Linked DNA regions of Arabidopsis thaliana. The protein of the gene in region 1 interacts with the protein of each later gene in a pairwise test. Each region holds a gene or a part of one and is shown in the gene's direction. Other genes may lie near its edges. The genes, in order: AT2G05755 and AT5G24000.

Region 1 (17,123 bases):
ATTTTTTATATAGATGTGAGTATTTAAAATCTTTTTTTCTTGTAGGATTAATAACTGATTATATAATTTCATATTCGACAACTATATTAAGATACTTTAAAAAAGGAAAAATAACAATAGATATAAAAAAATATAAACTTTTAAAGAAAACATAAGTAAAAAAAAAAAGAAAAAAAAAGTAGAACTTCTAAAAATAATCTCTTCAAATGTTTTTGTAAAAATTAAAAAAAAAGCCAATAAAAGAAATAAAAAATAAGATATTAAATTTATAAACGAAAAATCTAAAAATATGAAAGAATTCTGAATATAATTATGTTACAAAATTCATAAAATGAAAATATAAATAATTTAAATTTATTTTAAAATTTTATTAGTTTAGAAAATAAGATATTTATTACAAAAAAATTCTATTACAACTTAAAAAAAAAAAGTCGAAGTGATAAGCTTTTAAGGCCGTCTTAGGGGTGTCAAAATGGGTAACCCAACTCAACTCAACGAGTTTAAATCTTCTCAATTTCATTGCTTATATATTTAAGAAATTCGGAAAAATATTGATTGTATTAAATTGGTTTAGATGTGTTGGTTAAACTTAAATCGGCATTGGTTTAGAGATTTTAGTTGGTTTAATTTATTTTTACAAAACTTGATGGGTTAATTGGGTAAACCATTACAACCCAACTCATTTTATTCATCAAACCAATTGACTCAATAACTCATTTGACCCATCAACTCATTTGAGTTAATATTTTCAACTCATTAGGGTTCATGAGTTGAGTTGAGTTGAGTTGACCCATGAATTTTGATCCATTTTGACACCCCTAGGCCCGTCTACATGAGATTTAAAACGACCAGTCATGGTTAGCAACCACACTGAATATTTTTAATATTTTAAAATTTTATTATTTTATGTACAAAGATATTTATAAAACGGAAAAAATAATATATGAAAAAGAGAAATGTAAAATTTTGGAAAATAATATATAGAATATATTAAACTTATATTCTTATTTTTATTTTGTTAATTTTCTTCTTTTTCAAAAAAAAAGAAATATTAATAGGAAAATATTTTCAATTAACACTAGATTTTTTCAATATATATAATCACCAGATGCATCTCATTCGATCATAATTTATAAATTGTACACTTGAGTCATCTGTCACGATTGGGGCTGATTACTACTCTTAATAATGCCGCTTTATATATATTTTTATCGCATATGCCACTACGGATACTTTTCTCGCTGTCAGACTGTTTTTGCTTTATATCTTTGACGAGTTGTAAAACATGTGTTGGTATAAGATGTTATTAACATAAAAGTTTTGAGTCTCAAGAAGAAGGATTGATGACAAGCGTTATTGGTCGATGTTTGTGCTTCTTCATATCGGTTATGAAACATAAGACCTTGATTTGATGTTGTTTGAGTTAAAATTTTGGGTTTAAACAAGAAGGATCAACAACAAGCAGACATGTTTTATTATCTACACATATGACCATGTTCAATTTATTTCCTACGCAAATAATTTGTAATTTTGTAACATTAAGGATTTTGGTTTGAAAAGTTTCAATACAAATTACTTGGGACAAGTTGTGTGGTATGCTAAAAAAAATTATTTCGAATGGTTATTCAGTGTTTCTGACAGATGGAACATCAATCGCTTATGCCCAGAAAGTGTTACAAGCTAATAAATCTAGGGAGTTAGTGTTGGTGGGAGTGGAGGAACATACATTGCAAAGAAGTTCTTTTTGGAAAGATGTTTAGGCCAATATAGCGATAATTGTTTACGTGAACTACAAATAAATGCAAGTATGGTTAATGACCTAGGTAATTTATTGCGTGGTTTAAAAAAAAAACTTAGATTGTATATATAAATTTACGAGACGTAATAAAGATAATAAATTTAATTGATGAGAGTTTTCTTGCATTATGAACAATTGACGTTATAGTCTAGGTAATAAAGGTAATTGAAGGAGAAAGAGAGAAAGGTAGATGGATTGCGACAAGCAAGAGAGAAATACAGAAAGAAAGTCATTATCGCGAAGAAGAAGAAACTACAAGAAAGCAAGGCGTATTCTGACGACATTTCCGACAGTTCTCCGACAAATTTTTGAGTGGAAACTAGTTCTTCGGAAATACTTCCGTCGCAAATGTCTTCGGAAATTTAAACATTTTCCGAGGGATTTCGGAGAAATATACTTCCGTCACAAATGTACTCGGAAATTTGTAACTTTTCTGTGGGGTTTCCGAGGATATATTAACCGTTGTACTATTTTGAGAGATTTTCGAGGACATTTTGACCGTTGTTTTTTTCCGAGGAATTTCCAATCGGTGAATATAGCCGTTCGAACGTAGTCGTTGATGTATTCGTTCGAATAGCCGTTGTAAATTCAAAACCCTCGGAAATCCCGAGGAAATCTCTCGGAAATTTGCCTATATATTCCAACCAATTTACATCTTTGGAAAACAAGAAAAAAACTAGAAACAATACCAACAGAAATGTCTTCTCCAGATCCTTATAATTATTTTAGTTCATGGATGGATAAACCTAGATACAATCGAGAGACGGGCAAACTTACAGAAGATTTCAAAGAAGGTCTTACGGAATTCATGTCATTCGCATCAATCCAGAACATAATGCGAGAAACAAATACTATGTTATGTCCTTGTCCAAATTGTCTGAATAATAAGAATCTCGAGGTAATTGTAGTAAAGAGGCACTTGTTTAAGAATGGATTTATGCCGGGTTATAGATATGGTATTCGCATGGAGAGAGTGAATCAATGCAAGATTATGGTAGTAGTAGTCAACAATATATTTCGGGTACTGTAAAGGAACCATCAACGAAAGTAGACGTAAGCACATTTCAGATGGTGAACGATGCATTTAGGGAAATGCACCATCTTTTGTTCAGGATGGAAATAGAGAAGAGTAACCGAATATAGAAGCTCGGAGATTCTTTGATATGTTAGATGCAGCTAATATGTCTTTGTATGATGCAGCTTATATGTCTTAGCTGAAACTAGGTTGATGGAGATAAAGACGGAACTAAATTTGGCTGACGGTTGTGTGGATGCGATTACTGATTTTATGAAAGAAATTTTGCTGGAACATAATCTTTCACCAGCTTCATACTATGAGGTGCAGAAACTTATAGCTGGACTTGGATTGCCATATCAGGTGATAGACGTGTGCAGTGATAATTGTTTGATTTATTGGAGAGAAGACGAAGGCCGCACTTCATGTCGTTTTTATCGTAAACCTCGGTATCAGGACACTAGTGGAAGAGTTCCCATACCATATAAACGGATGTGGTATTTGCCTTTAGCAGAGAGGTTGAAGAGGTTGTATCAATCAGAGCGTACAACAGGATCAATGAGATGGCATGCTGAATATACATCAGACAGTGTAATAGCGCGCCCATCAAATGTAGAAGCATGGAAACATTTTCAATCAGTGTATCCTAACTTTGCGTATGAGCCAATGAACGTTTATTTGGGTTTGTCTACAGATGGTTTTAATCCTTTTGGAAAGCATGGAAGGGAGTATTCATTGTGGCTAGTTATTGTGACACCTTATAATTTTCCGCCATCTTTGTGTATGAAACGAGAGTTTCTTTTCCTAACCATTCTTGTTCCTGGTCCAGATCATCCCAAGAAAGCACTTGATGTGTTTCTATAGCCATTGATTTATGAGTTACAAATGTTATGGGAACATGGTGTAGACGCGTTCGATGTTTCAGCCCACCAAAATTTCAACATGCAAGCGGTGATAATGCAGACTAAAAGTGATTTTCCAGCCTATGGTATGTTGTCTGGGTGCACAACGCACGGACGGTTATTGTGTCCGCATTCTCAAGATAACACCGACGCATTTCAGCTGAAACAGGGACGGAAGACGTGTTGGTTTGATTGTCACAGAAGATGGCTCCCAGAAGACCATCCTTATCGTTAGACCACTACATTATTTAGAATAAACAAGTCTTTGATGGTCCACCTCCTGAGTATTCTGGCGAGGACATGATGACCAGTTAAGAGATTTTGGTGCTGAGAAAACATCGGTTTGTGGTGGTGTCGGGCACGATACTGTTGATGGATATGGTGATCTTCATAATTGGCACAAGAAGAGTATTTTCTTGTTATTGCCATATTGGAAGGACCTTTTGTTGAGGCATTTTCTAGATGTCATGCATACCAAAAAGAACTTTTTTGATAACATCATGCAGAGCCTACTTAATGTTCAAGGAAAGACAAAAGATAACTTGAAGTCTAGACTAGACTTGCCTGATATATGTTCTCAAAGAAAGCTTCATGTCATGCCAAATAGGAAAGCACCAACCCCTCAATTTCGATTAGATGAAGCTTCCAAGGAAGCTTTCTTAGAGTGGATTATGATGGATGTCAAATTTCCGGATGGCTATGCATCTAATCTCCGCAACTACGTTAAAATGGGAGAGGTGAAGTTTCAATGAATGAAAAGCCATGATTGTCATATCATTATGCAACGCCTCCTTCATTTGATTTTGAGCATCTTCTACCAAATAACGTACACAAAGCAATTGCAGGTATATTATTACACAATTTTCTTTTATGCTTAACTATATATTTATTTATATCTAAACATTTTATCTTTCTCTACGCAGCTATTATTGTGTTCTTTCGATATTTATGCACAAGAACACTTACTCCATAAGGGATACAAAGGTTGGAACAAAATATACCGGTGATCTTATGTAATCTTGAGAAGATTTTTCCATCGTCTTTCTTTGATGTGATGGAACATATTCCAATTCATCTCCCACAAGAATTAGCACTTGGCGGTCCCGTTCAATATCGATGGATGTATCCGTTCGAGCGTTACATGAGTACTCTTAAGAAGAAAGTGAAAAATTTGGCAAGAGTCGAAGATTCTATTGTTGCACAATGCATCAACGAAGAAACCTCACACTTCTCCGAATATTATTTTCCAAAACACGTCCAAACAAAGATGCGGAAACATGCTCGACATGATGACGGTGGAGAGAGATCTTTTTACCCGGTTCTAGACCCAAAATTATTTGCCAAAGTTGGTCGATTAAGTGGGAAATCGAAGAAGCGAAGGCTAACAGTGGAGGAGCATCAACACTTGCACATGTACATTATCACTAATTGTGAAGAGCTTAAAGATTATGAAAGGTACAAATTTTTAGCTTTAACATTGAAATTGTGAATTATTAAAATTCTAAATTTAATATGTAACATATAATAATTAAAATTGCTAATATTTATCATGATTACTAATTTTCAGGATGTACTTGGGTTAAATACGCTTTGAATATCCACATGACGTTCAAAAACTCAAGGAGACTGAGTTTTGCAACTGGTTGAAATTCTACGTAAGCTTTTTCTTATTTATTTTTACTAAATAATAAATTTGCGAAGATAACTTTTACAAATTATAAAATACGTTCTACATGTTACATCTATGTCTTCTAGAGATCAATCAATTCCTACATGGTTAATGGAGTTTGTTAATGGGCCATTATATGTTGTGGAAGCGTATCCCATATATTGTACTCGTGGTTATGCTTTTAAGATTCTTCAACCCAAAAAGACTAGGCCGGCTTGTGATTATGGTGTATCAGCACAATCTAGTGATCTTGTATACTATGATATCCTCTACAAAATCTTAGAAGTTCGTTATCCAGGAATGATCAATTTGAGGTGCATTGTTTTCTCATGTGATTGGTATGATCCAATTATTTGACATGGTGTAAAACATGACGAATTCAGTGTTACAACAATACACATGAGAAAGAGGCTCGAGGGATATGATCCATTCATCCTCTCATCACAAGCCGATCAAGTATGCTCAATTATGATATATTTTTAATAAGAAAATTAAGTAATTTTCGTCAATAAATTAAAAATATTAACCAAATAATTTTATTATTCTAGGATACAATAATCTCTCGAAAAACCCTCGGAGATAATAAGTCCTAGGATATCCGTCGGAAAATATGTCATCAAAATTTTCTCAACAGTCGTCGGAGACAATGGCCCTCACAAATCCGTCGGAAATATTACTCCCTTAGAAATCCCTCGGAAATATTGTTCCTTTGGGAATCTCTCGGAAATAGTGGTCCTCACAAATCCGTCAAAAATATTAATCCCTTGGAAATCCCTCGGATATTTGCGAGGACTTTTCGACGGATCATAATTTCCAACCACGTCATACCGACGACAAAAATCCCTCGGAAATCTGTCTGAAACGCTTGTTTCCGACGGTTTACTAACGAATCGGTCCCTAGGAAATAAACTGTTTTCTTGTAGAGGTCAGATTGTGACACTCTAAGACAAGCTCAGATTATCAGACATGGAAAAGAAAAGTGAGAAAACAATTACGACATGACCTCTTTAAAGCAACTATAATTCATATATGTAGGGATTCCTGGTATTAATGTCTTTAGGTTGAATGGTGAAATATAGAATTAAACGTTTTTGTGTGTGCGTTATAATCGTCTTCAACCTGATCGAGAAGATTTCTTTTTAAGTTTCATATCTGACCAGTCCCGTGGAGACATCAAACGAACATCCAAACATACTAGGAATAATCTGAAATTTGGTAGGAGACATGACATTAAGTTTTGGTAGAAAGGTATCAAATTTCCAGTTTGAAAATTTAAATGAACGACTATTTCATGTATGTAATTCATAGGCTGATTGAGGTATGTTTGGTTAAGATTAGTAAGTTTAAATTTTTTGCTCTGTTTTCAACCATATAATAATGAACATTTTACATAGAAAAAGATGGATAGGATGAGGAAGAAAATGAGGAAGATGAAAGGGAAGAAGAAGAAGAAGAGTGTAGCGAAGAAGCGGACAGTGAAAATAACAATGACAACGGCTATTAAAAATTAAAAAAGAAGATGACAAAAAGAAATATGAAGAGAATACAAAAATAAGTGATGGCAGCAATTTGAATATAAGAAAACAATATTGATTCGTGATTCTTTTAATCAGATTTAATTCTTAAGCACTATAATTTTTATAATTTTAGAATTTCGTATTTGAAAAAAAAAATCTTTAATAGAAATTAAAAAAATAAAGACCAACCTATGATAGTTACATAAGATAATATTTAATAACAATTATCACTCAAATATAATTTCATCAAAATATATCAAATAAACTCAAAACCTAGTTAATGTTAATAATCCAGCCTAAATGAAGAGTCATTGCAATTTGTAAACCGATAAAAACTCTCTCTCACGCTTCCAACTGCGATTATCAAAAACCTTTATCGAGTTATATTCTCTGGCGTCGGTGGAGCTTTTGTTCACCGGCGTCGGAACTTCTCCACTGTCACTGTTCAATTTGCTCATTACCTCTCTAGTCTTTCAGTTTTTTCTGCTCTTTTGCTTAATTTTTCCCCCTTTTGGAAACCATCTTTAGCCCTTTCAACCCTTAAGCTTACGGTGAAATCCTCAATCAATAATAAAGGAAGAAGGTGGTGTCCGGCGTTTCCCATCTCTCATCCTCAACATGCACCACCCTTGCGGAAGCTTTCCCTGATTGAACCACAAATTTATCGAACTAAGAGCTTGATTTCCCGAAAATATTTCCCTCACCACGGCGAGCTTCTTCTCAGGGATTCGAGTTCAATTACCAGAACGGCCATGTTCCTTTGGTTCTCCTCTTTCGCCTCACTTCTCAGCCAAGATATCCAAACCATGACCCTATCATCACCGGAGATTCTCGCTCCACCGCGAAGTCCCTCCTCATCTCCGTACAACAGCGGCGGCACCCAAGACCTTCGTTTACCAAGCAATGGTGAATCTAGGTTTACAACTGGTGGACCTTTTAAAGTCTGGCCCATTAAAATGTCGAAAGCCCAAGTTTATTAAAGGTGATCCAAACCTTCATACACAAAAGCCCAGGTCTGACCTAAATTATTCTTTGTTTTTTCTTAGTAAAATACTGAATCACTTATCGGCACCACTTGATAATGGACGTCAAATGGACCGTTATGTACCAGTTTTTATATGGGTGCTTAAGAATTCTTTGCGAACTCTGCCTTTAGTTTCACCTAAGGTCTTCGATCATGAAATCAATTGTTTGAGTGTGATAGGTATCTTGTTCTCAATTCTAATAATTCGAGGTTGTGACTGTTGTCACCAAAGCGTCACAAATTACTTATCTCTGACACATTTTGCTACCAACTTTAAGCAATCTCTCATCAATAGCAACATTAAGACTCATAGCTATCGGTACTACACAGAAGCTTCCATTCTTTATGAGGAAAATCCTGAATATTCATCGCTTGCTCTTGAAAATAAAAGATTGATGAGAACCGGCATTATGATCTCGTCTCCACGGAGCGATGATTACCGACGCTTCTCCAATCTTTTTGCCTCCTTTCCTCGGTTTACTGAAATCAAGCAAGTTCGATCCAACAACTTTAATATTGGTATTCATGAGGTTACAAGGTTGAGGAAGAACGGCATCATGATCCCGTCTCAATGGAGCGGTGATTACCGAAGCTTTCTCAGCTTGTTATCTCCAAACCTAACCGACCATAGAACCATAGTCAACCAACTCCTTGCCGTTGAGCAACTCAAGCTCACCCTTCTCATGCCGGCGAGAACCTCGGTTATGAAACCATCTTCAACGTCACCTCGTCTCTTGACCTTGACCAATTTGTCTCCCATTGACTTACTCGTGGAAGATCATTCGACTAGCCATGACCTCACATGTCTCAAAACGCTTAATAGCCTTTGTCTCAAAGTTTTCATGAATTCACCGTCGTCTCACCTTATCTATCATAATTTGGCATTGAGGAATGCCTTCTTTGTTTGTATTTTAAACTTTATGATTTTTGTGTTATCCTTTTTTGTACTTGGTTTGGTTTGATTTAAATGAATGAAAATAAGTTGTTTTAAAAAAAAAAAAAAAAAAAAATGAAAAGTCATTGAAGTTAACGTCGCATTTAACGGCAAACGTTAAAACAATCTATTTTGAAACGTCGTCGTCTTTTGACTCTTCGTTATCTTTCCGTTTCGTCTGTTAGATTCTGTTTTCGTAGCCATGGCTTCTTCGTCTCCGGAGACCAGAATCGCCGACGAACACCTCTCCCTTGAGCTTACCGTTCGCGATCTAGAATCTACGGCGTTAGAAAGCGCCTCCTCCGCCCCTGAATTATCTTCCGACGAAATTATCCCTCTCCTGAATCAAAACCAAAGACCTAGAATCAACATCTTCTCCGCCTCCTACACTCGACGCAAACCAAGTGTAAGAACAGCTCCTCTCGTTGCAATGGTTGTAATTCATGAACAATTCAGCTGAATTTCGATAATTCGATTCGAAATTGATTCAATGGAATTGCGAGTGGATTCAGTTTCTGCTAATTATGTTGCTAGATTTGTAGAATTAGGTGATTGACAGGAACTGTGATCAGATTTAAGTAAGAATGATTTTGAATTGTGATGTGTGTAGGAGCAAGTGATTAAAGTGACTGAAACTGAGATATCACCTGTAACTCAGTTTTCTTCATGGATTTGGAGTGGTTCTCGTTACTCTGGCTTACTGTGTATGGCATTGTCATCTACATTGTATCTGATCATGGAGTTAGTTTCAGATACTTTTTCTGGTCAGTACTTCTTTAGCTCTCCAATGGTGTATCCTGTGATTTCGTCCTTGTGTTCAGTTTCATGGTTTTGTGTAAAGAGTTAGCTTTATGGGAAGGCTAGAAAATGTTGAAATTATCTTTGCTTTGTTCATATGGTGGGAGAATCTATGTTTGATTCTGAAACAGTGGACTTATCTAAGAACTTGTCTTTTCTAGTTGTAATGGAATCTCTCCTTAGATGAGTGCAAGTGCTAACCTTAGTGTTGCCTTGAGCTGACAGGTGTATTAGTATATTGATAGACTTTTTTTTTTCTAATTTCCTTTGTTTGTGACAGTTCAGCCAATTCCTTTGTTTGAGACCGCGTTCATGAGATGCACAATTATCTTGATACTGTCATACCTTTGGTTGAAAAGAATTGGGCAACCGATATTTGGACCTGCTCATGCAAGGAAGCTTTTGGTTTCAAGAGCCCTCGTGGGTTATCTTTCATTGTTTAGTTTCATCTTTAGGTAATTACATCTCACACTCTGCTCCCTGTGTACGGATAACCTACTCTCAGTAGCTTCTCGGGAAGATGGTTTGTTAAATTTATATACTGGTGACCGGTATATCATTTGAACTGAAATTGCTATTAGAAACAATGTCCATTCCCCACCAATCAATGTGTCATTCGTTGCAAAGTAAGACTTCTAACACTGTTTTTCACTGTTAATTGACATTGTGAACCACAGCATTCAAATGTTGCCGTTGTCCCAAGCTATTGTACTAAGCTTCTTGAATCCAATTATGGCTTCCATTGCAGCACGTGTTGTTATGCATGAGAAGTTGAAAATAACTGATATTGGAGGTTCAGAGCTTTTCTCATCATCCTTAACTATATATGATTTTGTATGCATACAAAGCAAGTCTATATATGACTTCTCTTTTACTGCGCTTTGGTCCAGGTCTTGCTTGCAGTTTCTTTGGCGTGCTTTTTATTTTTGGCCCAACACTTACTGTCCAAGGTACAGAAGTGAGTTAACAAAATAGTTCTCTATTTATTCTCTTAATAAAACTTCTCCTGGCTGTCCTTTATGCATGAGGAAACGAATATGTCATGTTGATTTTACTTATCTCTTCTTGGCAGTTGGATTAGAAGGAAAGAATGAAAACCTTAAAGGAAACCATCATATTTATGCGTTCTTGTTGGGTTTATTTTCATCAATCACTGGAGGAATCACCTATTGTCTCATAAAGGCAGCCGCTAAAGCATCGGAACAGCCAGTGTGAGATTTAAGATTCAGATGTGTCATCAACCCACATGTTTTACTTCTTTAGCGAAAATTCTATTGTTAGGAAGGATAAACAAATGATGTGCATTTTCACAGGATTACTGTCCTCTCTTTTGGCTTGGTAGCTTGCCCCGCTACAGCAATTTGCATGTTTTCCTTCGAGGTATGTTTTGTAAATATATATTGTGTATGTTCAAAGGGAATATGATATGGATGTAGGAAACCAAGAAATGCATTATCTGCACCAAATGTATAACGCAGTCACTGATCTATTGTTTGATCATTACTCATACTCATGATCCATAACTTTGAATTTTCTCATACAGAGCTTCGTGCTGCCAGCATTTGACACGCTCGTTAGCATGATTGTGCTAGGGTTGCTAGCGTTTTGCGCAGAGGTGAGGCATTCGGTAACATTCTGCTTCTACACATTTGTGTAGGTAACTCGCATAGCTCGACTGCTGAGAATATTTTTCCTTTGTCTTAAGGTACTTTTGGCACGTGGTCTTCAGCTTGAGAAAATCAGCAAAGCTGCTAACGTATTGTACATCGAGGTAGACTTCCACTTCCATAGAAGACAGTTTTTTTATCGGTTTATTTCTCTTTTTACTCTTAAGCTATGCAATAAAAACACTCTTTTTTGTTTAGTAAGTTCATTTCTCTCTTTGATTTTTTTGGTTTGGGTTTGGTTAAGATTAAAGATGGTTTGAACAGGATTAGAGCATAGTGATAAATCAGAAAGACCTAGTTTTTAATTAGTGTCTTTCTCGTATTAGGTGGTTTTATCGCAGTTATGGTTAGTCAGCACGGGAAAAACAGGATCGCCAGGTTTGTTTAGCCGGCTTGTTGGGTGTTTGCTCATTCTCCTATCGGTAGGCTACACAGTTTACATCGGACCTGCCAAAGATACTGAGTCATCAATACCATAGAAGTGTTCCATTCTTTTCTCATTTTTTTACTATGCTTCTTGTTTGAGGCAATGCAAACGCCACACTCCCCATTTCACATTTCTGAGTATAAAATTTCATTGATTTTCGTTTGCCAAACCAATGTATGACAGCACTTTGTTTGTTGTGTTGATTAGTTTTGGTCATAATGTAGTATAGTTTATGTTGCTAACTAACTATATTAGCTGCATAAACCATATTAAGTTGTTACTCAAAACACTTTCACTCCAAGAGAATCGAATTTGTTGTATTTTTGTATTACAAGATAGATACTCAAACCCTCTTTCCAACTTTACATGTGGCTCAGATTCTATGTTTCTTGTACCAAAAAAAAAAATGAACTAAACACACTTCTTTACTTCTTAGTGGTTTTCAATAAAATATGAAAATTGGAAGCATATATTCCCTCTAAAAGAAAACATTTGTTGGAATCTTTTTCAATGCAAAAACAGTCGGTGGCCGCTAAAAGGACCGACGGGTTTGAACAAAAAAAGATTTTATGCTTCCCTAATACTATATTCAAGTTTTTGATTATATATCTACACTAATAATTGAAGAGTAAACTGTTATATAAAATACTACATCCTGATCCGCACGTACGTGCGGAATTTCATATTTTTAATTCAATGTAGATTATTTTTTTATTTTGTGATATATATTATAGTACAATGTATTAGATATCTGAACTCTCATATACGTACAAAATATAAATTTTTTGGAATGTATTATATTTCTTGGAATAGAAAACCTGTGATGTATCTATCATAAATTCTTCGTCCCATACCCCGTCTATATATGTGAAATAAAAATACTACCAACCTGTAACCATCACAAAATACGTACATGCAGGGTTATGTGTGTAAACAAATTTATTTTATATAGTGCTCATAAAAATACTACATTTTTAATATTCTACTTTTCATGTCGTTTGTGTCTTATAATTCATATTTTCATTTCGTTCCATTAAAAGTACGTTCTAAAATTCTTATTTGCTTACCTTTAAATACCAATGTATATATGACTGAGTTTTGCGGATTAACATATAGGATGTTAAAGTTTACAAATATATCATTAAAACACACAAATATCTTTTTTTTAATTATTTTTTTCCTTCTTCAAATTCAAAATATGAATAGCATTATAACAAATAATTTTGTAAAAAACTATATTTTAACAAATGTAATAATTTTTCCTTAGCTACATTTTTAATATTCTTCTTTCTCTTGTTTAATCATAATTAATTGGATTTTTGGAATATAATTAAAATTTTGAAATACAGCTATAAAACAATTTATTTTTGCTGGATAATTTGTTTTGAATGAAAAATGTATAATTAGTTTACATTATTTCAAAAGTTTGTTCAATAATATATTATGGATTTATTTAAAAAAATAAAAAAATAAAATCTAAAATATTTCGAAATTAGTATGTACAATTTATTGTTTAGATATTTCTAAATGTAAGGCATAATGATAATTATTTTAAATTAATATTTTGTTTAATTCATAGTAAATATAAATCTTTGTAACATCTAATCTCGTTTTTAGAAATTTTGAAATAAAGTTTTGTTTTATATTTCAAAATATTTAACCCAAAATTCTAAAATTGAATTTATTTATCTATCACAAATTATGATTTTTTATTCATGGTATCAAGCAAGTGTTATGATTTAAAAAAAATTAAATAAAAATGAACTTCCAAAATGTTAGTTTAATAATATAATATAATTTGATATCAAATCTTAGTTTTTCAATTTTTATTGGTTAACAAATTTTAATTTTTCGTCCATAATTAATAGGAAAGAGAAAGTGAGTTTAATTTTGGGAAACTAATAATTGCTTAAAAGAATATTACCATTTTTTATATTTAAATCTATTAATTTTGTGATTACTATTGTATCCTTGATGAATTAATTTAAAAACACTAACAATCAATGGCATTCTATGTAATATTTTATCCTTCATAAGGTTGTTTATTTTCAATGATTCTCAATTAATAGTATAGATTATTAATTTTAGTATTTTATATTAATTTATTAATGATATAATAGTAATTACAAAATTAATATATTTAAATAAAAATCAAAAAATACTTTTAAATAATTATTAGTTTCTAAAAGAATTAAACTCATTTTATCTCTCTTATTATTTATGGACGAAATTTTTAAATTAATTCTTAAAAAATTGTTAACCAATGAAAATTGAAAAGGTAAGATTTGATATCCAGTAACTATAAGATTTAATTAACATTTTGGAAACTAATTTTTACTATAAAAAAAAGCATAAAACTTGCTTGATACCATTAGTAAAAATCATAATTTGCCATTGATAAAGAAATTCAATTTTTAGAATTTTGGGTTGATAACAAATTGGTGTGGAGGTCTGATTATCAGTTAGTTCAAAATGAAAATAAAAATAATTATCATTTTAATTCAAAATTAAAAACACGATTGTTTAAATTTTTTATTCAATGGAGGATTTTATGATTGAATTTAAATTTGTAAAAACTTAATACAAATATTTTTAAGATTCAATTTTGTTATGATATTTTCACAAATTTTAAAATATAAAACAAAACTTATTTCACAATTTCTAAAAACCGAGATATATATTAACCAAGATTTATATTTACTATTTATTAAGATCAAACGATAAAAAAAAATAAAGTAATTATCATTATGATCTTCATTTACAGCGAGTTTCTAAAATATTTAAACAATAAATTATACATATTAATTTCAAAGTATTTGGTATTTTATTGTGGTATGATTACTGAAAGTTTAAAATAGTTTTATGTTAATAATTTTTTAGATCTATTCATGAGGAAATTGGCTACTCATATAGGTAAAGATCATGCATTTATATGGATGTGCATCGCCGCGTACATATTTAAACTGCATCGTTTGGAAGAGTTATGGATGATTGTAAATAGTACGACCGATTTGAGATCAACCTCGACATAATATGAATCAATCACGGAAGATAGCTAAAAGGACATTATATATAATCATAGATTGGAAACGTAGATTGAAACTAAATTGAAAACTAAACAAATTACCTAACTGATATGAGTTCGGGTTTATAAATTATAAGCATTATATAAATTAAATTTGTTTACACATAACCTACACGTATGTATTTTATTACACATATTCTATTTACGATGGATACGGAATGTTAATATTTTTATTTTCTGTATACGGCATTGGCGGAGCCAGAAAAATTATTTATGGGGGTCAAATTATTTAATACAAAAAGTACATAAATTTTTAAGAAAAAATAAATTTCTATATATAATGTTTTTTTTTACTCATAGAATTAATCATGTAAGTATTTTATTTTATTTCGTTTGTCATAGTGTTAAGTACTTTTTATTAAAAAACTAGAAAATTATATAAAATTCTATCAACGATATGTATTACGTGACGTCATTTTAAAGTATGTAATGCAAAAAAAAAAAAATCAAAAATAATTTTCAAATAAATAAATTAAAAGATGAGACATATTTTTCTTTGTGATATACGAGCAATATATTTTACGTCAAATTAAAAAGTATATAAATTCTTACTTAAGAATTTTACTTTCAACCATGTTTTTCAATGGATAGTTGTAATTGAAATAGAGCAATGAGTTTAATTATAAGGATACTTTTGATATATAATAAATATTTTGTGGTTTTCTCTTAAACTAAAATTTGATGGAAGTCAAATTTTATTTTGTAAAGGAGTCAATTTATGATAACTAATCAAAACTAACGTAAGTTTAAAAATCCATGGGTGTCAATTGACCCCCATGTTATAGCTCTACCTCCGTCACTGGTATACGGGACGGGTTATGGAACGGAGACTTTATGATAGATATAAGATTGTTGGATTTTCTGTTCTAAAATAATTACACGTAGCTTATGCATTAAAAAAACTCAAACTAAAATTAAATTAATATCTTATTTAATATCCGTAATCAAACTCTTAAAAAATTATTAATTTAAATTTTTTAATAAAAATATAAAATTACGCATGCGGCTAAGGATATAGTATTTATAAATAAGGCTGATGAAAGTTCAAAGAGAAACTGATTATGAAATTGTCTGCTCTAAATTGCTTCGTCGTATGGTCGAAGTTGTGACTTGTGAGTCTATTTCACCTTAAGCATTATTCTTCACTTTTTTGTTACTTACAATCACGTGAAAGTTTAATATATGATAATACTTATTTTTTTATGTTTCACATGCTTTTCGTTTGTTAATGATGTTTATTGTTATAAAATGTATTACACGAGGGAAAATGGACTATTATTTCACAAACTATTGCCAACTTGATAATATTCACATAGAGTAGATAACTCTTCGACAACAAAAAAGAAAGAAAGAAGGGAAATTGCACTCTGTATACATAGAAAATTACAAAATTAATAGAAAATTACAAAATTAAGTGTTAGAAAAAACTACTGTTGAACCTTCTCTCTATCAAGAAAATATTCTTATACCCCTATACCTTATTTGTTTTTGATGTTAAATATTTTGTTACCTTTTAATAATAATGTTATTATCTTCCGATAATTATATAATCTTTGAAATCAATCGTTGGTTCAATAGCCGGTAATTTGTTTATATCGTCAATTGTTTTATTAACATGTTATGTAGGTTTGTACCTTAAGTTTTTTCATCCATATATCAAAATCCTATCCATATTTCGCTAAAAATATTATCCCGATAATACGTTATCTGCTAACTATTCTAATGCTTGTATTTTTTCTACATGATTATTCAGTCGCAAGTCAACTTTTTTGGCCTTCATGCTAAATATTTTGTTATCTTTTAATATTAATGTTATCATCTTCGCATATATATGTGTCTTTGAAATCTAAACATTGGTTCAATAACTGAAAATTTGTTTATATCCTCAAATATATTATTAACATATTAAGTAGGTTTGTACACCATGTCATTTCATCTATGCATCAAACTCTATCCATATTTCGCTAACAATATTATCTCGATAATGCGTTATCTGCTAACTATCCAGAGTTTTATCATATCTCTTTATAGGGGTATATTTGTCATATAGATTTTAGTTGAAAAGAGATACCTAAATAAATGATCTTCATGTATAGATTCTTAATTATTTGATGGTTCCTGTATAGATTTTTAAATCACCCAAAAGGAAAATTGCCCTACGACTACAATAAAAAAGCTGGTACCTACATGAACTAATAAAATCAAGCAAAATTGTATTGACCTAAACGCCGTAATTAAGTCAATACTAATATGTGTTGACTAAATGCCAATTAGATCAATAATCGAA
Region 2 (16,708 bases), on another chromosome or scaffold:
GTTTTCATCCATCGCATGCCTCCACGACTACTTTGGTATGTTACATATTTTATTTATCACTTTCCACACTCGCAAAAATTAGGTTATAAACTTATTATATAACTAATTCCGAGACAATTATGTTACATATATTTATATGTACAGAATGGTCAAGAAACATCAAGATCAATAGACACAATGGAAGCTCATCATCATAACTACAATGAGACAACACCATGGACTCATCAAAGAAAACCATCAATTTCAATGCCAACTTCACCAAATGTTCTCATGATCTCCGACCCGACAACATCTTTGTCTTCCGAAAACCACAAGAACAGTGGGTCGACTGGCAAATCCGTCAAGTTTCTCTCTCAGCCGATGACCAAAGTCTCATCTCTCTACATAGAAAGCGGTAATGGTGATGATGATCGTCGTCAAAGCCATGATAATCATCATCATCATCTTCATCGACAACATCAGAGTGGTCATCATCAAAATCAAAATCAGGCTGCGAACAAGCTTAAAGACAACAGGTACAACTCGTTCAAGACTTGGTCGGGGAAACTTGAGAGACAATTCACAAGAAAACCAGCTTCTGTTGAACCGGAGGCACCAAACCGGAATAACCAAAATTTGAATACCAATGAAGCCATGCCTGTGGACCGTTACTATGACGCCTTAGAAGGTCCTGAATTAGAGACCCTACGGGTACGTACCTACGTTTTTTTTGTATCTTTTACATTTGAATTGCATTCATGTGGTAAATTGTTTTAATGACCTTTTTGCGAAAATATATCATTACTAGAAGTCAGAAGTGACACGTTTTATAACTCTCTTTTATTAACGAGTGACATGTTTCAATTATAACTCTCTTTTGTTTTTCCTACGTCGCAGCCTCAAGAAGAGATCGTTCTACCAAATGATAAAAAGTGGCCGTTTCTTCTCCGTTACCCCATTTCCACCTTCGGTATGTGCCTAGGAGTGAGCAGCCAAGCCATAATGTGGAAAACCCTAGCCACTGCAGAGCCAACCAAGTTCCTCCACGTACCCCTCTGGATCAACCAGGGTCTATGGTTCATTTCAGTGGCTTTGATCCTCACTATCGCCACCATCTACCTCCTCAAGATCATCCTTTTCTTCGAAGCCGTACGCCGCGAATACTACCATCCAATCAGAATCAACTTCTTCTTTGCTCCTTTCATTTCTTTACTCTTCCTTGCCCTCGGTGTCCCACCTTCCATAATTACAGATTTGCCGCATTTCCTTTGGTACCTCCTCATGTTTCCATTCATCTGTCTTGAGCTTAAGATCTACGGTCAGTGGATGTCCGGTGGTCAACGACGGCTCTCCCGGGTCGCCAACCCGACCAACCATCTCTCGGTCGTTGGGAACTTTGTTGGGGCCTTGCTTGGTGCGTCCATGGGGCTTAGAGAAGGCCCTATATTCTTCTATGCTGTTGGGATGGCTCATTACTTGGTTCTGTTCGTGACTCTCTACCAAAGGCTACCGACCAACGAGACTTTGCCTAAAGATCTTCATCCTGTCTTCTTCCTCTTCGTTGCGGCTCCAAGTGTTGCTTCCATGGCTTGGGCTAAGGTCACTGGCTCCTTCGATTATGGCTCCAAAGTTTGTTACTTTATCGCCATTTTCCTCTATTTCTCATTGGTACGTTTTACATATAACTTAGCTGTATATATATTCCTTCTTCAGAAAAGTATTTACTAATACAAATTTTCCCTTTCTTTGATTTATAGGCTGTTCGGATCAATTTCTTCAGGGGAATCAAGTAAGATTAAGAAAATTACTTTTATTACTGTTTGATTTTTAGTTATTCGCTAGCTCAACTTTCTCACACTTTTTTTTCTCATAGATTTTCGCTGTCCTGGTGGGCGTACACCTTTCCGATGACCGGAGCTGCAATTGCTACCATCAGGTACGCAACAGTGGTTAAGAGCACTATGACTCAAATCATGTGTGTGGTCCTATGTGCCATTGCAACGTTAGTCGTGTTCGCACTGCTCGTGACCACCATTATCCACGCCTTTGTCCTCCGAGATCTTTTTCCCAATGACCTCGCCATAGCCATCAGCAACCGTCCGAGACCCAAACAGAATAGCCAACACCGGTGGCTTGACCAACTGAGAAACGTAAGCTCAGAGAACATCGAGAACTACTTGAAATTCACAGACTCCGACAGCAGTCAGAGTAATGATGTAGAAGCTTGCAACGGCAAAACTCAAGAGAGTGATTCATCATAAATTGGAGAATCACGAAAAAAGTTTTCATAACCCCTAATACAGAGTCGTATCCGAAGTTTTGGTTTTGGTTTGTTGTCAGTGTCTCTGACACAAGTGAGGAACCTAGTAACGTAATTGTTGCTGTGGTTCTAATGATCATGTGTTTAAAGCAGTATTAAGTAAACGGGAGGGGTTGTCTACAATGGTGAACCAATCCAAACGACCCAGTATCTCTTAAACCAGAACTGTTAGCAGTTATCATAATACTTCAAAGAGCATGTATACTTGTTTTGTTCCAATAAATAAAAAGTTTTGAGGGGTTATCACTGTATAAATAGCATCAGAATTATGATACGCGATCATGTTGGTTCTACTATCAGCTAAGCCCTCTAAGAGCTTCAGTATCACATAATCATTTCTATTTCGGGAACTTAATCGACACCGCCATATCGATAAATCAAGAAGGTAGAGAATCAAATGGCATAATACCAAGCTAGACAGCACTAGTACTCAAGCCTACATAGTACAAAAGGGCCAGCAAAATCATCACCAAACCAGTAGCTACCGAATTCATACTCGCGAAAAGTTCTGATAAGATCAGCTAAGCTATTGAAGTTCTCATCATAACGATTTGACATAAGAACTTGAGATATATTGGAAACTCTCAATTTTAACATAAACAGATTACAGAAACAGAAATCAAGAACCTCAAGAACAAAAGGCATAAGAATCAGAGCTTGAACTCAGCAACAAACTAGCAGTAGAATTCCACATTGTCCTAGGAACAAATCTAAATTCTCAAAGCAAAAGAGACAAAATCTTCAAAAATCTCTAGCTCCTGTACAAAAGATTTCAATGCATACATACCCGAGGAAGAAGTTTCAGTTCAGTTCAGTACCGTTCGGTTCGGTTCGATCCGTTTGCCATTTAGCCGCCAAAGAAAGAGAAGAAGCCACGTTTCTTAGGTTCTTCCTCCACCATAACAGCCTTCATACTATCTTGCTCAACGAGTCTCCAAGCCGCCTGCTCAAACGCCAATCCCGCAAGCGTAGGAGGCTTATTCAGAACAAGCGGAAACCCTCGATTCGTGCTTCGAATAACCTCAGAATCTTCAGGAATTACACCAAGCAATGACAATCCCAACATCTCCTGCACATCTAACACTGACATCATATCCTCTCCTTTAATCATATCAGTTCTCACTCTGTTCACAATCATCTTTATATCTCTGATTCCATCGCATTCTAACAAACCCGTAACCCTATCAGCATCCCTTAACGCTGTTATATCCGGAGTTGTTACCAGAACTGCTTCATTCGCCGGAGTAATGGCGGTTATGAATCCGGCATCGATTCCTGCAGGACAATCGATGATGATGAAATCCGGTGAACCTTCCGGTCTAGTTTTCAACGCATCCACAAGCCATTCCAATGCTTTACCACCAAATCCCATCGGAAGTTTCGATCTAGGTTTAGATATACATAGCAATTCGAAATTCGACCAACGCTTATCACGTACCAGAGCTTGATCGAGACGACAATCTCCGTTTATAACCTCGACGCAAGTGTAATTGACTCGATTCTCTAACCCTAGGAGGAGATCGAGGTTACGGAGACCAAGGTCGGCGTCAATGGCGACAACTGAGAAACCGTAACGAGCGAGAGAGAGACCGACATTTGCGGTGGTTGTCGTCTTTCCAACACCGCCTTTTCCGGAGGTGATAACGACGATACGCGGCGTTTCTCCGGCGAGTTCCGGTTTGCGATTAAATTGAAGAACGGATCGTATTGGACTCCGTCTGCTAGGGTTATTGACGAATCTTGGTGAAGATATTAGAGTCTTTTGTGAGAGAGATGATGGAAGGAGAAGAGATTGATGATTCGTTGAGAACAATCTCAGAGACGCCATTGATAGTGCTGCTGCTTCTTCAGCTGTCTCCACAGAGACAGAAATGTTTCTGAGCGTTGTGGCTTCACAGGGTTTACGGTTTATCAAGAACTTTTGAGATTCCGGTTTTTAATTTCTCCACTCTTAACCGGTTTAATATTTAACCAAATAATGTACTGGTTTTAACGGTTTATGATTCATCCATATCAAATGAACAATCATAGCTCTACAAGTTACAGAAACCAAACAAAATTATACCAAACACGAACCGAATCTGAGATACCGGTACACCGCTTTGGTTTCCCGGTTTAGGTATTGTACTCTATGACTATGATAAATACTTGCTCTATATAGCAATGACTTTAATTTATCTCCCAGCGTTGGTCATTAGCTGAGAGAACACTTGGGTGCTACTGATTATGCCTGAAGTTCCATCTCCATAGTCTCTCTCTATGTTCGAGCCATTAGACAGACCTTGCCGAGCCGTTCTCGGGTCGGTAACATCTCCATAATCTTCTTCAGGAATGTTCAATGGTCCGGATTCTTGAAGCTGAAGCACATGTTCTAAGTTCCATAGAACATCGCCAATTGTCGGTCTATCTACACCGTAATCCGCACAGCATTTCTCTGCGGTTTCAGCGAATTTCTTCAACGAGCACGGTTTGATTTCATCTGCGATATTCGGATCAACGATCTGATCAAGCATCCCTTTCCTTTGCCACTCTATTGCCCATTCTGCTAAATTTACTTGCTCCCTAACAAGCAACGGATCAACAGCGGGTCTAGCGCAAAGAACTTCAAAAAGAACAACACCAAATGAATAAACATCGGACTTATCCGTGAGCTGTTGTCTTCTGAAGTATTCAGGATCAAGATATCCAAAGCTTCCTTTTACACCGGTGCTCACATGTGTCTCATCAATACAAGGACCGGATCTTGAGAGTCCAAAGTCTGCAACTTTGGCTACATAGTTGTTATCTAGTAAGATATTGGTGGATTTGATATCCCGGTGGATGATTCCTTGCGAAGAACCGGTGTGAAGGTAATGAAGTCCTCTGGCTGCACCAATGCAGACCTCAAGCCGTTGTTTCCAAGATAAAGGCGGGTTGGTGGATCCGTATAAGTGACTTTTGAGTGGTCCTTTATCCATGTACTCATAAACAAGAATCATCTCAGACTGTTCTTCGCAATACCCAACAAGTGAAACTAGATGGCGATGACGGATCTTAGAGAGAATGGTTATCTCAGAGAGAAACTCTGGTAAGCCCTGTCTTGAACCAGGAGAGCCTCTCTTCACAGCTACTTTGGTGTTGTCTTTAAGAGACCCTCTAAAAACCATCCCGAATCCGCCAACTCCGATAACTAAACTTCTATCAAAGTTATTGGTTCCGGATTGTAACTCCGCGAACGAGATTCTCAGAGTATGGTAGCCACTAGAACTAACAGTTCTTTCAGTTGTTCTACTATTGGAACTGCCTCTAAACCTCCTCAAAGGTGTCCATCCCGTGCTCTCTGAACTCCTCGTCTTGTTGTTCTTGCGCCTGCACAAGCACAAAACGCTCAAGAAGAACAGCGACAAGAACACAAAACCTCCCAAAACCGAGCCAACCACGATCCAGACAACATTCCTCTTTCCAGATACCACTTCAGAACTCACAGGGCTCAAAATCCTCATGATCTCAACTCCATTCAATAGAGCATTAACTCTCGCCGGATTACTAAGATCAGACGGTCCAACACTAATCCTCAACATTCCAGAACGATCAGACTCCGCAACAAAATCAATGTACAACGGAGACGCAAGCACATGGAAAGTAAGCGTGGAGAGATCAACATCCTTAAACGCAAGATACTCATTGATAAAGACATTGAAATAGAGCTGATTAAGCGACGAACTAACGATATCGCAGAAATGCAAACGAACCAAATGAAGAACTCGTTTCTCATCAACCTGAAACCCCCAACTAATGTTAAACCTTGCCTGCAACTCCTGATTATCTCGATCCATCTCCTGAGCAGTCATATAAACATTATCCGGAGCAATCTCTCTCGTGGCACCACCGTTTTGATAATTCGGAGAATGAGTAGTCCAAGCACGTCTAGCAGCAGCTCTCAAGAGAAGATAGTTGTCATCAACAACCCAAGTCCTCCACAACGTATCATTAAACGGCGTCAATTTCGAACCACCAACGTTGATTCTATGAACAGTCTCAAGAACTTGAGATGACAAGTTACTAAAGATTTGAGCAGAGTTAGGAATCACAAGCTTCGTTCCTTGATCCATTATATAATCCTTAGGTGCTGAAAACACTTCAACCGCATTAACAAACCCAAATCCAGAAGCTTTAAAGGGCAAAAACGAAATCTCTAAAACAGGGTCATCGATTTTGAGTATGAATTCTTTAACAACGACGGAGCTAGTACTGAAACTGTTAATCACAGAGAACCCATTAATCAAAACTCGAAATTTAGCAGACCTTAAGTTAAATCTCGAAGCTTTAAAAGGCGCGAAATGGAGACGGATAAAGTGAGTGCCTTTGGTAGTGACTTGGAATTTGTATGATCCTCCGACGGGGAAAACACGAGCTGTGTTGTACAAAACGGGTGAATCTGGAGATGGGTTCGTGTCAGAAATCGAGATGGATCGATCGGTGGAGAGAAAACTCGAGCCAGGTTCTGAAGAGTCGCTGAGAAAAGAACGGGTTGTGAAGAAAGATGTATTGGTGTTAGAACCGGAATTGATGAGATAATTATCAGTTGGAGTGAAAGCAGCGAAAGAGAGATGAAGAAGAGGGCAGAAGAAGAAGAGAAGGGTTTGGGTTAGATTTATTGGAAACGCCATTAGAGTGAAGCTTTTTTGGGGAAGGTTTGAGAAAGGTTTTGGTTTGATGATATTAAAGAGAAGAAGAGATGGAGAAACTAGAAAGTGGGTTTTTGCTGTCACTTCTCTGTATTCGTATTTTTTTCCCACTAAAGGTAAGTGAAAGAGAAAGTGTTTGTGAAATCATTAGGCAGCGAAGTTTGTCAACAGCAATGGGAAACCAAAGGAAGCTTAAACCTGATTTTGTTTGTGATTCGGTGGCAATCATTTTCAAAAAGTTTTGCTTTCTATTAAATATAGTTGATTTTCACTGATTTGGTAATTCTTAGTTAATCATTTGTGTACGCTATGAGTAGGGATGTTTGATTCATTTTTGAATTAGATAGAAACAGTTTTGAGATATAATTTGTGGTGTTACGGATTAACTCATCGTAGGTGGTGTGATTATTATGGTATTAATTGCGTAACTAACAAGGTTTGGACCGACACATTATTACAAAAAATAAATTAATTAGTGTATTGTAGGCAAGGTTTAATATTTCACTCATTAATTCCAATAGACCTAAACGATACTAATTTAATAATTAGAAGGAAATATAAGGAAGCATCTGTCACCAAATTAGAAGTACTCTTCTTCTTCTTTTTTTCTTCTTTTTTCTGAGTGTATGTAAAATTTTATTCATACAACAAACCTTGTTATAGTGAATGCATCCTTTTTAAAAAAGTTATAGAAAAAAAATTAGAAGTACTCTTTTTATGGGCATCCATGATCCATCATTTTATCAAAGTCTAGATTAACTTCTTTTTCTTGATAAACAAGAAGACAATAAAATACATGAAAACACTAAAAAGAAGAGAATTCCACCAAACGAAGCTAATCATAATTTTTTTTTACTATTTTTCTTTTTTCATACTATTCATTATATTTTCTTCTTATATATTTCGTCTTCCTATGTTATGTTACTTTCTTTATCGATTTTATTTATTTCTTATTTGTTATTTTTTTCGTATCAAGAAATAGATTACAAAAATAGAAAATAGAGTAAAGTTTTAGAAAAAAAATATTGTTAAATTTTATTTTAAACTTTTATCATATTCATTATGTGGTATATTAATATGCTTCTCGTCAATTTGATATCTCAATAAATTTGTTTAGCCGAATAAGGAAACAAAAAAAATAAGTTTCCAAAAGTATAATATGGGACTTCAAACATTAATTGGTGTATCTAAAAAGTGCAATGGCTCTTCTATTCACAGTGGTATCACCAAATCCACTGTCCCCCACAATCTCATCGCTCCACGTGTCTCCTTCCCGCCACCACTTATCATCATCAATAACCATACGCCGTAACAAATCGCCGCCGGTAACACTCACTCCACATCGTCTTGTTTCATCTCGACGCCGGCGCGTGAAGGTCTACTCACAACTACGATTCCCTCTAATCTCCCCAGACGATCACTGGTCACAATGGGCTGCTCTCTTCGCCGCCGGAGCTTTCGGTGTCTGGTAAATCACCTCAATCCTCTCTGTTGAAACTAGGGTTTTGTATACTGATGAAATTACCGACTTCATTAGGTCGGAGAAGACGAAAATTGGAAGTATGGTGAGTGGTGCGTTGACAAGTACGTTACTTGGGCTCGCCGCTAGCAATTTAAGGTTAATTCCGTTTGAAACGCCGTCGTATGGCTTCTTCATGGAGTTTCTCTTGCCGCATACGATTCCATTGTTGTTGTTTAGAGCTGATCTCCGTCGTATTATCCGATCTACTGGATCATTGCTTCTTGCATTCTTAATTGGATCTGGTAAAGATTTAGTCTTTTGCTTAAAGGCAAGTTTTTGGATTGGGATTAGTTTGGATTCATGCTTAAGACTAACAAAAGTTTATGTCTTTGAGTGGTTTTAGTTAAAAAGATTGATTGTGAAGTGACATTGTTATTGATGATGTGTTGAGTGGTTTATTAATTTGTGAGTTGGTTTGTTGTAGTTGCGACGATTGTTGGAACAGTGGTGGCTTTTATGTTGGTACCGATGAGATCGCTTGGTCCGGATAACTGGAAAATAGCAGCTGCTCTTATGGGGAGTTACATTGGTGGATGTAAGTTTGTCTGGAGCCCCTTCATTGCTTCTTTGGCTTGTTTACAGACAGAGGTACTCAATGTTTATCTTCTTTAGCCGAAAAGATTCTAGCTTTGCTTGATTTTCGTTTATCGAAAAAAGAGGAAAATCTTGCTAAATTGGCTTGTAAGATGTTTATCACAACTTGGGAATGGATTCTTCAAGAGGAATGAGAATAAAATTGTTGGTTCTTGTTTTTTGTTCTGCAGCCCTTAATTTTGTTGCGATATCGGAGGCTCTACAGATATCTCCATCTGTTATAGCAGCGGGTGTAGCTGTGGATAATGTCATATGTGCTCTTCACTTCATGGTTTTGTTTGCGTTGGCCTCAAAGATACCCCCTGAGACCGCCTCAGCATCTTCCCCTGGTAAACTTCCATCTTGATCACATTTTGTATATATAAGGTATGTAAGTATGTTGCAATGTGAGAGGATTACTAAAGAACTTATGGCGAATAGTCGGACCAACTAAGGATTTGGTGACTCTAGGGCTACTTGGTTAGTTGTCAAATTGATTTGAGTGAATGTTGGTAAAGATAGTTATTATTAATACATATAATGTGCCTATCAAATTAAGACTTGATAATAAGTTTTCAATACTTTTGAGTTTTGACATTATTACATAACGTTTCTCATCTTCTAACTGCATTTGCATCCACATATAAACACTACTATTCAAGTTTTTGTGATCTTTGGCAGATGCTGACATGACTAAGGATGACAAGCTCGAGGACAAGAACAGAGTGGTTTCAACTTCAATTGCACTATCAGTTTCCTTCCTGATATGCAAAGCTGCAATTACGTTGACGACGCTATTTAAGATACAAGGAGTTATGCTTCCTGCAGTAACAGCCATCACCATTGTCTTGGCAACATCCTTCCCTGATTTCTTCAACTCTCTGGCACCTTCTGCTGAAACCATCTCTCTCATTCTCATGCAGGTATCTCTTTCTTTACACTTTATCCATTATTTAGAACCAATTAGACATGTCATTGGCAAAATGGGCTATGTCTGACCCGTTTTGAGCCCTTATTCTCATTGTTAAAGCCCATCCCTGATTAAGCCCGAGGACTTCAGACCATGGTTTGTTTTTGAATCTTTTTTGTTCAGGTATTTTTCACAATTCTAGGAGCCACAGGGAGTGTATGGAATGTAATCAACACTGCCCCAAGTATCTTCTTATTTGCTGCTATTCAAGTAATGGTTCATCTAGCAGTGACTTTGGTTCTAGGAAAACTATTCTGTATCGACATGAAGCTATTACTTCTTGCATCAAATGCTAACATCGGAGGCCCAACCACTGCGTGTGCCATGGCAACCGCAAAAGGATGGACTTCTCTTGTCGTCCCCGGGATTCTCTCTGGTGTTTTTGGGGTCTCCATAGCAACTTTTCTAGGCATTGGATGTGGAGTTTTTGTCCTCAAACGATTATAGATTTCTAAACAGTTCTAATGATTGGAGGATTCTGAAGCTAGACTTCTTGTAAATTGCTAATTGTTCTCAACAAATTTTAAATCTTTTTGTTTTCCAAATTATCAGTGTTTTCATACAAAACAAGCATTTATCTCATAAACAATAACCATTTTACATTGGTTTGCGAGCTTTACTTGTTCAAATATAAAATAAAATTTGTCTGTAGATTTTTTTTTAGTTGACTAATACTAATATACATCTAGTGGTACGGTTGATTGTACTATTGTACCGCTCTTTCAATACAAGTCAACCGTACTTGAGATCGTAATTTAAAAGTCAACTGTACTTTCCCATATCAATCTCAAAAGTCAACTCTACCATATTAATAAGATTCTATTGATTCCAAATATTTTGTAACCAAAAGTAGTGCTAGATTCATCCTTCTTTGTTTGATTTATCCTATGAAACTTAGATTAGCATGGTTGGAAATTTATGCGTTTACTTGCAACTTTCGATTCCAAAAACAAAATATGCAATGTACCTATCACATGCATGACTTAGATTTGAGGTCCGAACAAAGTCTTTAGTATGTGTTCGACACACCTGCTCTTTCCATAATATTGATATGGAGAGCCCAATTTAGCCAATAAAAGACATGGATAGTGTAATATGATATTTTTTTAATGCGGAGATAAAGTATATATTAGCTAAGAATAAGTAAAGATGTAGTACAACAAGTACCAATTTGTAAATGCATGAATCATGCCTTATAGAATGTTCTCAAATCTCATTATCTCAACTCTCTACGCACGAAACCCTAACTAATATTTTATAATTTAATTAAATTTAAAATAGTTAGTAAGATACTTTGATTTGATTGGAAGTTGGAACCATCTTGTACTTCTCGTTTTTATCCATTTTATATCTATATAGATATTTACACAATCATATAAACGTTTTTCAACGAGATTCACTCTTACTTAAACGTAACATACATTTGAATTTGATAACATTTCTTGCTTTTCTATTTGGCAGTATTTGTTGTAGAGTAGAAATATATAATAATTATCAAACCATTGCTCTCAACTCACAAGTATTCTATTCGCAAATATGTGTGACACTTTTAGACCAAGGGGCATATCTAAGAAACTATCATGTACGTTTTTAAGAGTTTCGTACAAATTCACGTCTATAAACTCGTGATTTTTCTTTTATTAAAAGTAAAATGAAGATTTCACAGAAATGAATTAGTAAGACCATTCTAAATGTAATTGGTATAAAATATCTTTTTATGTTGATATATTAGTGTGAATTGGTTAAACAAACAATATATTGTGCAATTGCATCCAAATAATGCATCCCAACACAGATCGAAATATAATTGTCCCAAATATATTGTAGAGTTCATGAAGAACTAAATCTATATATAGAAACTGAATACAAAATCTGATTAAAAGAACGCTTTCAATTGCATAAACTGATCCATGTTTGGCTAAACATGTATCCCATATGGTTTTCTTATACAAATTGTTGGCCATACATGTATGATATATGAGTTATGTATATGTAATTATACATTACATTGTGAAAGTTCTCTGCCAGCAAATAATTTTTGGGAGAAAAGATATAAAATAAAAGCAGGGGAAGCATTCTCACGTCTTAGACATGTATAATATAACACGTTACATATTAATTAAACAATTACGTTATTGCCCTGATAATCCGCTATAAATAACAAATCCAAAAAGCTTTCCACACATAAAACACACACTTACATAAGTATATTGTGGATAATAACATAAAAGACAAAATGGGGAATATGAGAAGCTTAGTGAAGATGTTAATGGTGGTTCTGTTTCTTGGATGGATTTTCGTTTGGATTATGATTTCAACTAATCGTTTCCAAAACATATGGACCCCCAAACTCGCCAAGTATCTCAAAACTACTTATTTTGGTCCTCAAGGTATTAACTTCTCTATTTATTCTCGCATTAAAATTTTGATTCCTTCATCTTTGAGTATTCCTTTATCATGTACGTGTAGGCATGAATCTTGTGCTACTCACGGTTCCAATGATGTTCATTGCGGTTCTGAGCTGTGTTTATTTGCATACCCAAAAGCAACCCTCCCAAACTCAAAGGTTCCACTTGTTATAATTCAACTTTTATTGACGATATATATTTGTAAAATTTGTTACAAAATTATCACAATTTTGTTTGTATAAGTGCAGAGAATGGAAGGTAAAAGGGAGAATGGGGAGGGTGATGATGGTTATGAACCCATTGGGGATAGTGACAGCCACAGAGTTGACTTTTTCTCTGTTGTTCCTGGCTCTTTTAGTTTGGGCTCTCTCCAATTATCTCTACCTTAGCTATCACGTCCACCTTCATAACCATGACAACGCCAAAATGTAAGCTTCTTAATTTGTTTCACTTCTAACTTTATATGCTCGAATGGTTTGTTGGAATATCCCACATAACATCTATCTATATAAGATATGTGTCTCTCCACTCGTTGATCATGATTGCTCACAAGGTTATACTATGTGAAACATAACATATGGAACACACCAAAACCTCTAGTGCATTTTTTGGCACTACCATTTTTTATACCTTGATGAATTGCTTCACTCCCAAGTTACCATTTGGAGTATCTAGGTACCAAATCCGTAGGGTATGGGAGTTGATTTAATATTGCGTGACATGTGTAGATGGCAGGCAAAGTTTAGGGCTTTTGGACTGAGGATAGGTTACGTAGGCCACTACTGCTGGGCCTTTTTGTTCTTCCCGGTGACAAGAGCCTCTACGATCCTGCCACTTGTCGGGTTAACGTCGGAGTCAAGCATAAAATATCACATTTGGCTTGGACATGTCTCAAATTTTTGCTTCCTCGTTCACACAGTCGTTTTCCTTATCTACTGGGCCATGGTCAATAAGTTGATGGAGGTCCGTGTTACATGCATCTACCTTAATCTTATCCTTAAAACAAAACAAAACAAAACTTTCATTCTTTCTTTTATTCCAACTGATATTTGTTTTTACGATTTCTTATATATGTGAAGACGTTTGCATGGAATGCAACATATGTGCCTAATCTGGCCGGAACAATAGCGATGGTGATTGGAATAGCGATTTGGGTGACGAGTTTACCATCCTTTAGACGAAAGAAGTTTGAAATTTTCTTCTACACTCACCATCTCTACGGTCTCTACATAGTCTTCTACGCAATCCACGTGGGAGACTCATGGTTCTGCATGATCTTGCCAAACATCTTCCTCTTTTTCATAGACCGCTACTTGAGATTCTTACAATCTACCAAGAGATCCAGACTTGTTTCCGCTAAGATTTTACCTTCAGACAACCTTGAACTCACTTTCGCCAAAACTTCAGGTTTACAACTAGTTCTTCCATTTATCTTGACTATAATAGTTTAGGGTTTTTCTTTCAACAGATATTCCGTTTTCAACTAGAAATACAAACGCAAAACGCAAATGTAATGAAAACTTCTTTTGGTATATGTTTAAGGTTTACATTATACACCAACAAGCATATTGTTTCTACATGTGCCGAGCATTTCCAAGCTTCAATGGCATCCATTCACAATAACTTCGAGCAGCAACTTGGAGAAAGATACACTAAGTGTTGTAATCAGAAAACAGGGAAGTTGGACTCAAAAACTTTACACACATCTCTCTTCTTCCATTGATTCTCTCGAAGTTTCTACTGAAGGTCCTTATGGCCCTAACTCTTTTGATGTCTCGAGGTAAAAATTTCAAAAGTCTTATTTAAGTTCCTTACTTAACTACTTTATCTTAAGTATATCTAATTGTTTTCTTCCTGATCATATATAGGCACGATTCTCTAATACTAGTGGGCGGTGGTAGCGGAGTTACACCCTTCATTTCCGTGATCAGGGAACTCATATTTCAGAGCCAAAACCGGAGCACAAAGCTACCAAATGTTCTCCTTGTTTGTGCCTTTAAAAATTACCACGATCTTGCATTTTTAGACCTAATCTTCCCTTCAGATATATCAGTCTCAGACATTTCTAAGCTGAATCTCCGAATTGAGGCTTATATTACAAGAGAAGACAAGAAGCCCGAGACAACTGATGATCACAAACTTCTTCAGACAAAATGGTTCAAACCGCAGCCTCTAGACTCTCCTATCTCACCTGTTCTTGGACCCAACAACTTCCTTTGGCTCGGAGTTGTGATCTTATCATCATTCGTCATGTTTCTCTTGCTCATAGGGATCGTCACACGTTACTATATATACCCTGTTGACCATAACACAGGATCGATCTACAATTTCACGTATAGAGTGCTTTGGGTCATGTTCCTAGGATGTGTGTGCATTTTCATCTCGTCAAGCATAATTTTCTTGTGGCGCAAGAAAGAAAATAAAGAAGGAGATAAGGACTCCAAGAAGCAGGTACAGAGCGTAGAGTTTCAGACACCCACGTCTTCTCCAGGTTCATGGTTTCACGGCCACGAGAGAGAGCTCGAGAGCGTACCCTATCAATCTATAGTACAAGCCACTTCAGTCCACTTCGGCTCCAAACCTAATCTGAAAAGTAAGTAATCTATTACCACCTAGAGTCCACATTATATCATCACTTACATAACAAAAATGGTATAAATGAATGTGCATTCATGCATGAGGCTGATACTTTAAGCCTTATCGTTTTGCAGAGATTCTATTTGAGGCTGAGGGTTCGGAAGACGTTGGGGTGATGGTTTGCGGACCAAAAAAGATGAGACATGAAGTTGCAAAAATATGTTCATCTGGTTTGGCTAAGAACCTTCACTTTGAGGCAATTAGTTTCAACTGGTGATCTATTCCATGTTCTAACTATATATGTTTGCTTTTTTTTATTATATTCATCGTAATAACCGTTGATATAAGATGGTTTGCTTTTCAATTATTTTTTTCTTCTTTTGTTGGTAAATTGATTATTATTACTATGAAGCTTTTCTTTGAAATAAATTTTAGTATGTCTATTTAGTTAGAAATCTTAAGAAGAATAAACTGAAACTAAAATAAAAAGAAGTAACCAGAAATAGCTGATGGAGCTTACCGAAGATCCTGATGGAGCAAAGCAGTATCAAGGTAAGTGAGCTTGAACCAAAGTGCAGATCTATTGCTGGAGTCCTCTGATGAAACCATCTCTCTGATTCAAATGTAGTTATATATCTCTTCTCGTACATTTTTAGTAACCAGAAAGAGTTTTGAGCCAAAGCCTGAAGCCTCCCTGGATCGGGACCATCTTGTATCCTTTCCAAGCTTTCCTTGAACCACATGGAAAAGTTTCTCAATCCTTTTGACGAATTTTGCTACTACTAGACTAAAGGCCAGTTGGTTAAGTACATGTATCTCTATCTTTAAATTTATCCAGTAGAACCAGTTAGGAATGTATCATTGGCCAAATGGGCTAGGCCCTTAACGTTTTGAATCCTAATATCCTTTTTCCAATGTTAAAACACATCGCTGACTAATTAAGCTCGAGGACTGCCGACTGTGGATCATGGTTTGGCTGGCTACACTTGGCTTAAGACGGGTTAGCTCGAGGACTACGGGTAATTAGCCCGTCCTAGGCCAGGATCTTTCAGCACATGATAATATCCCTAAACACCACTAAGCCTCATCTAAACGGGCAATGGCTGCAAATTAATTAGTTATTTTAAACAATGGTTGGAGGATTCTCAAGCCACACTCCTTGTAATTGTAAAATGTTGTTGTCTCATTAGTTTATATTTTTTTTGTTTCCAAAAGCCAAGTGTATTCACACGTACGATACAGTTGTTTTAATGCATAAATCTCATTAATAGACAATAACCACTTCCGTAGGTTGAGATTTAAATATATAAAAAGTTGTCGACTACTATGTATATTATATACTAATCGGTATGTGTTTTTATATAATTAGAAATATAACTAATCAAGCTAGATTGTACTACTGTACTGCTCTTTCAATATAAGTCCACTGTACTTGAGAGTTCGATCGAATTGAAAATGTCAACTGTACTTACCCTTTTCGATCTTGAAGGTCAACTCTATTAGATAAAGAAGATTCTGTTGGTACATTAAGAAAACTGTTTCTTTGATTTCTTATCCTGTAAAACATAAATTGATGTGGCTGAAAATGTGTATGTTTAAATGCAACTTTCGATTCCAAAAAAATACTTGGATCTGTGTTCCGAAATAAGCCATTAATCTGAGTTAGACAACCTGCTCATTCCATCAAACAGA

The links.
Region 2: the proteins of AT2G05755 (region 1) and AT5G24000 interact in a protein complementation assay, tested with the Arabidopsis thaliana proteins (one large-scale study listed by BioGRID).

The regions. Positions count from the first base shown.
Region 1 is NC_003071.7:2,161,844-2,178,966, forward strand, and holds AT2G05755 (Nodulin MtN21 /EamA-like transporter family protein), read left to right. Parts: upstream 1-8,916; 5' UTR 8,917-9,061; coding exon 9,062-9,265; intron 9,266-9,469; coding exon 9,470-9,623; exon of another isoform or gene 9,624-9,624; coding exon of another isoform or gene 9,625-9,669; intron 9,670-9,786; coding exon of another isoform or gene 9,787-9,875; intron 9,876-9,937; coding exon 9,938-10,112; intron 10,113-10,334; coding exon 10,335-10,450; intron 10,451-10,547; coding exon 10,548-10,607; intron 10,608-10,729; coding exon 10,730-10,868; intron 10,869-10,970; coding exon 10,971-11,037; intron 11,038-11,200; coding exon 11,201-11,272; intron 11,273-11,362; coding exon 11,363-11,428; intron 11,429-11,650; coding exon 11,651-11,803; 3' UTR 11,804-12,100; downstream 12,101-17,123. Other genes in the region: AT2G05752 (uncharacterized protein), read right to left, coding at 7,462-7,545, 7,644-7,844, 8,198-8,266, 8,366-8,521, 8,602-8,685; AT2G05753 (uncharacterized protein), read right to left, coding at 9,625-9,669, 9,787-9,875, 10,003-10,093.
Region 2 is NC_003076.8:8,104,150-8,120,857, reverse strand, and holds AT5G24000 (keratin-associated protein (DUF819)), read left to right. Parts: upstream 1-8,082; 5' UTR 8,083-8,165; coding exon 8,166-8,434; intron 8,435-8,503; coding exon 8,504-8,730; intron 8,731-8,912; coding exon 8,913-9,023; intron 9,024-9,252; coding exon 9,253-9,411; intron 9,412-9,742; coding exon 9,743-9,984; intron 9,985-10,154; coding exon 10,155-10,478; 3' UTR 10,479-10,673; downstream 10,674-16,708. Other genes in the region: SLAH3 (SLAC1 homologue 3), read left to right, coding at 1-35, 145-690, 877-1,647, 1,737-1,768, 1,853-2,240; MIND (septum site-determining protein (MIND)), read right to left, coding at 3,147-4,127; AT5G24010 (Protein kinase superfamily protein), read right to left, coding at 4,474-6,948; FRO5 (ferric reduction oxidase 5), read left to right, coding at 12,268-12,421, 12,501-12,597, 12,688-12,867, 13,168-13,402, 13,519-13,846, 13,982-14,219, 14,308-15,032, 15,151-15,293.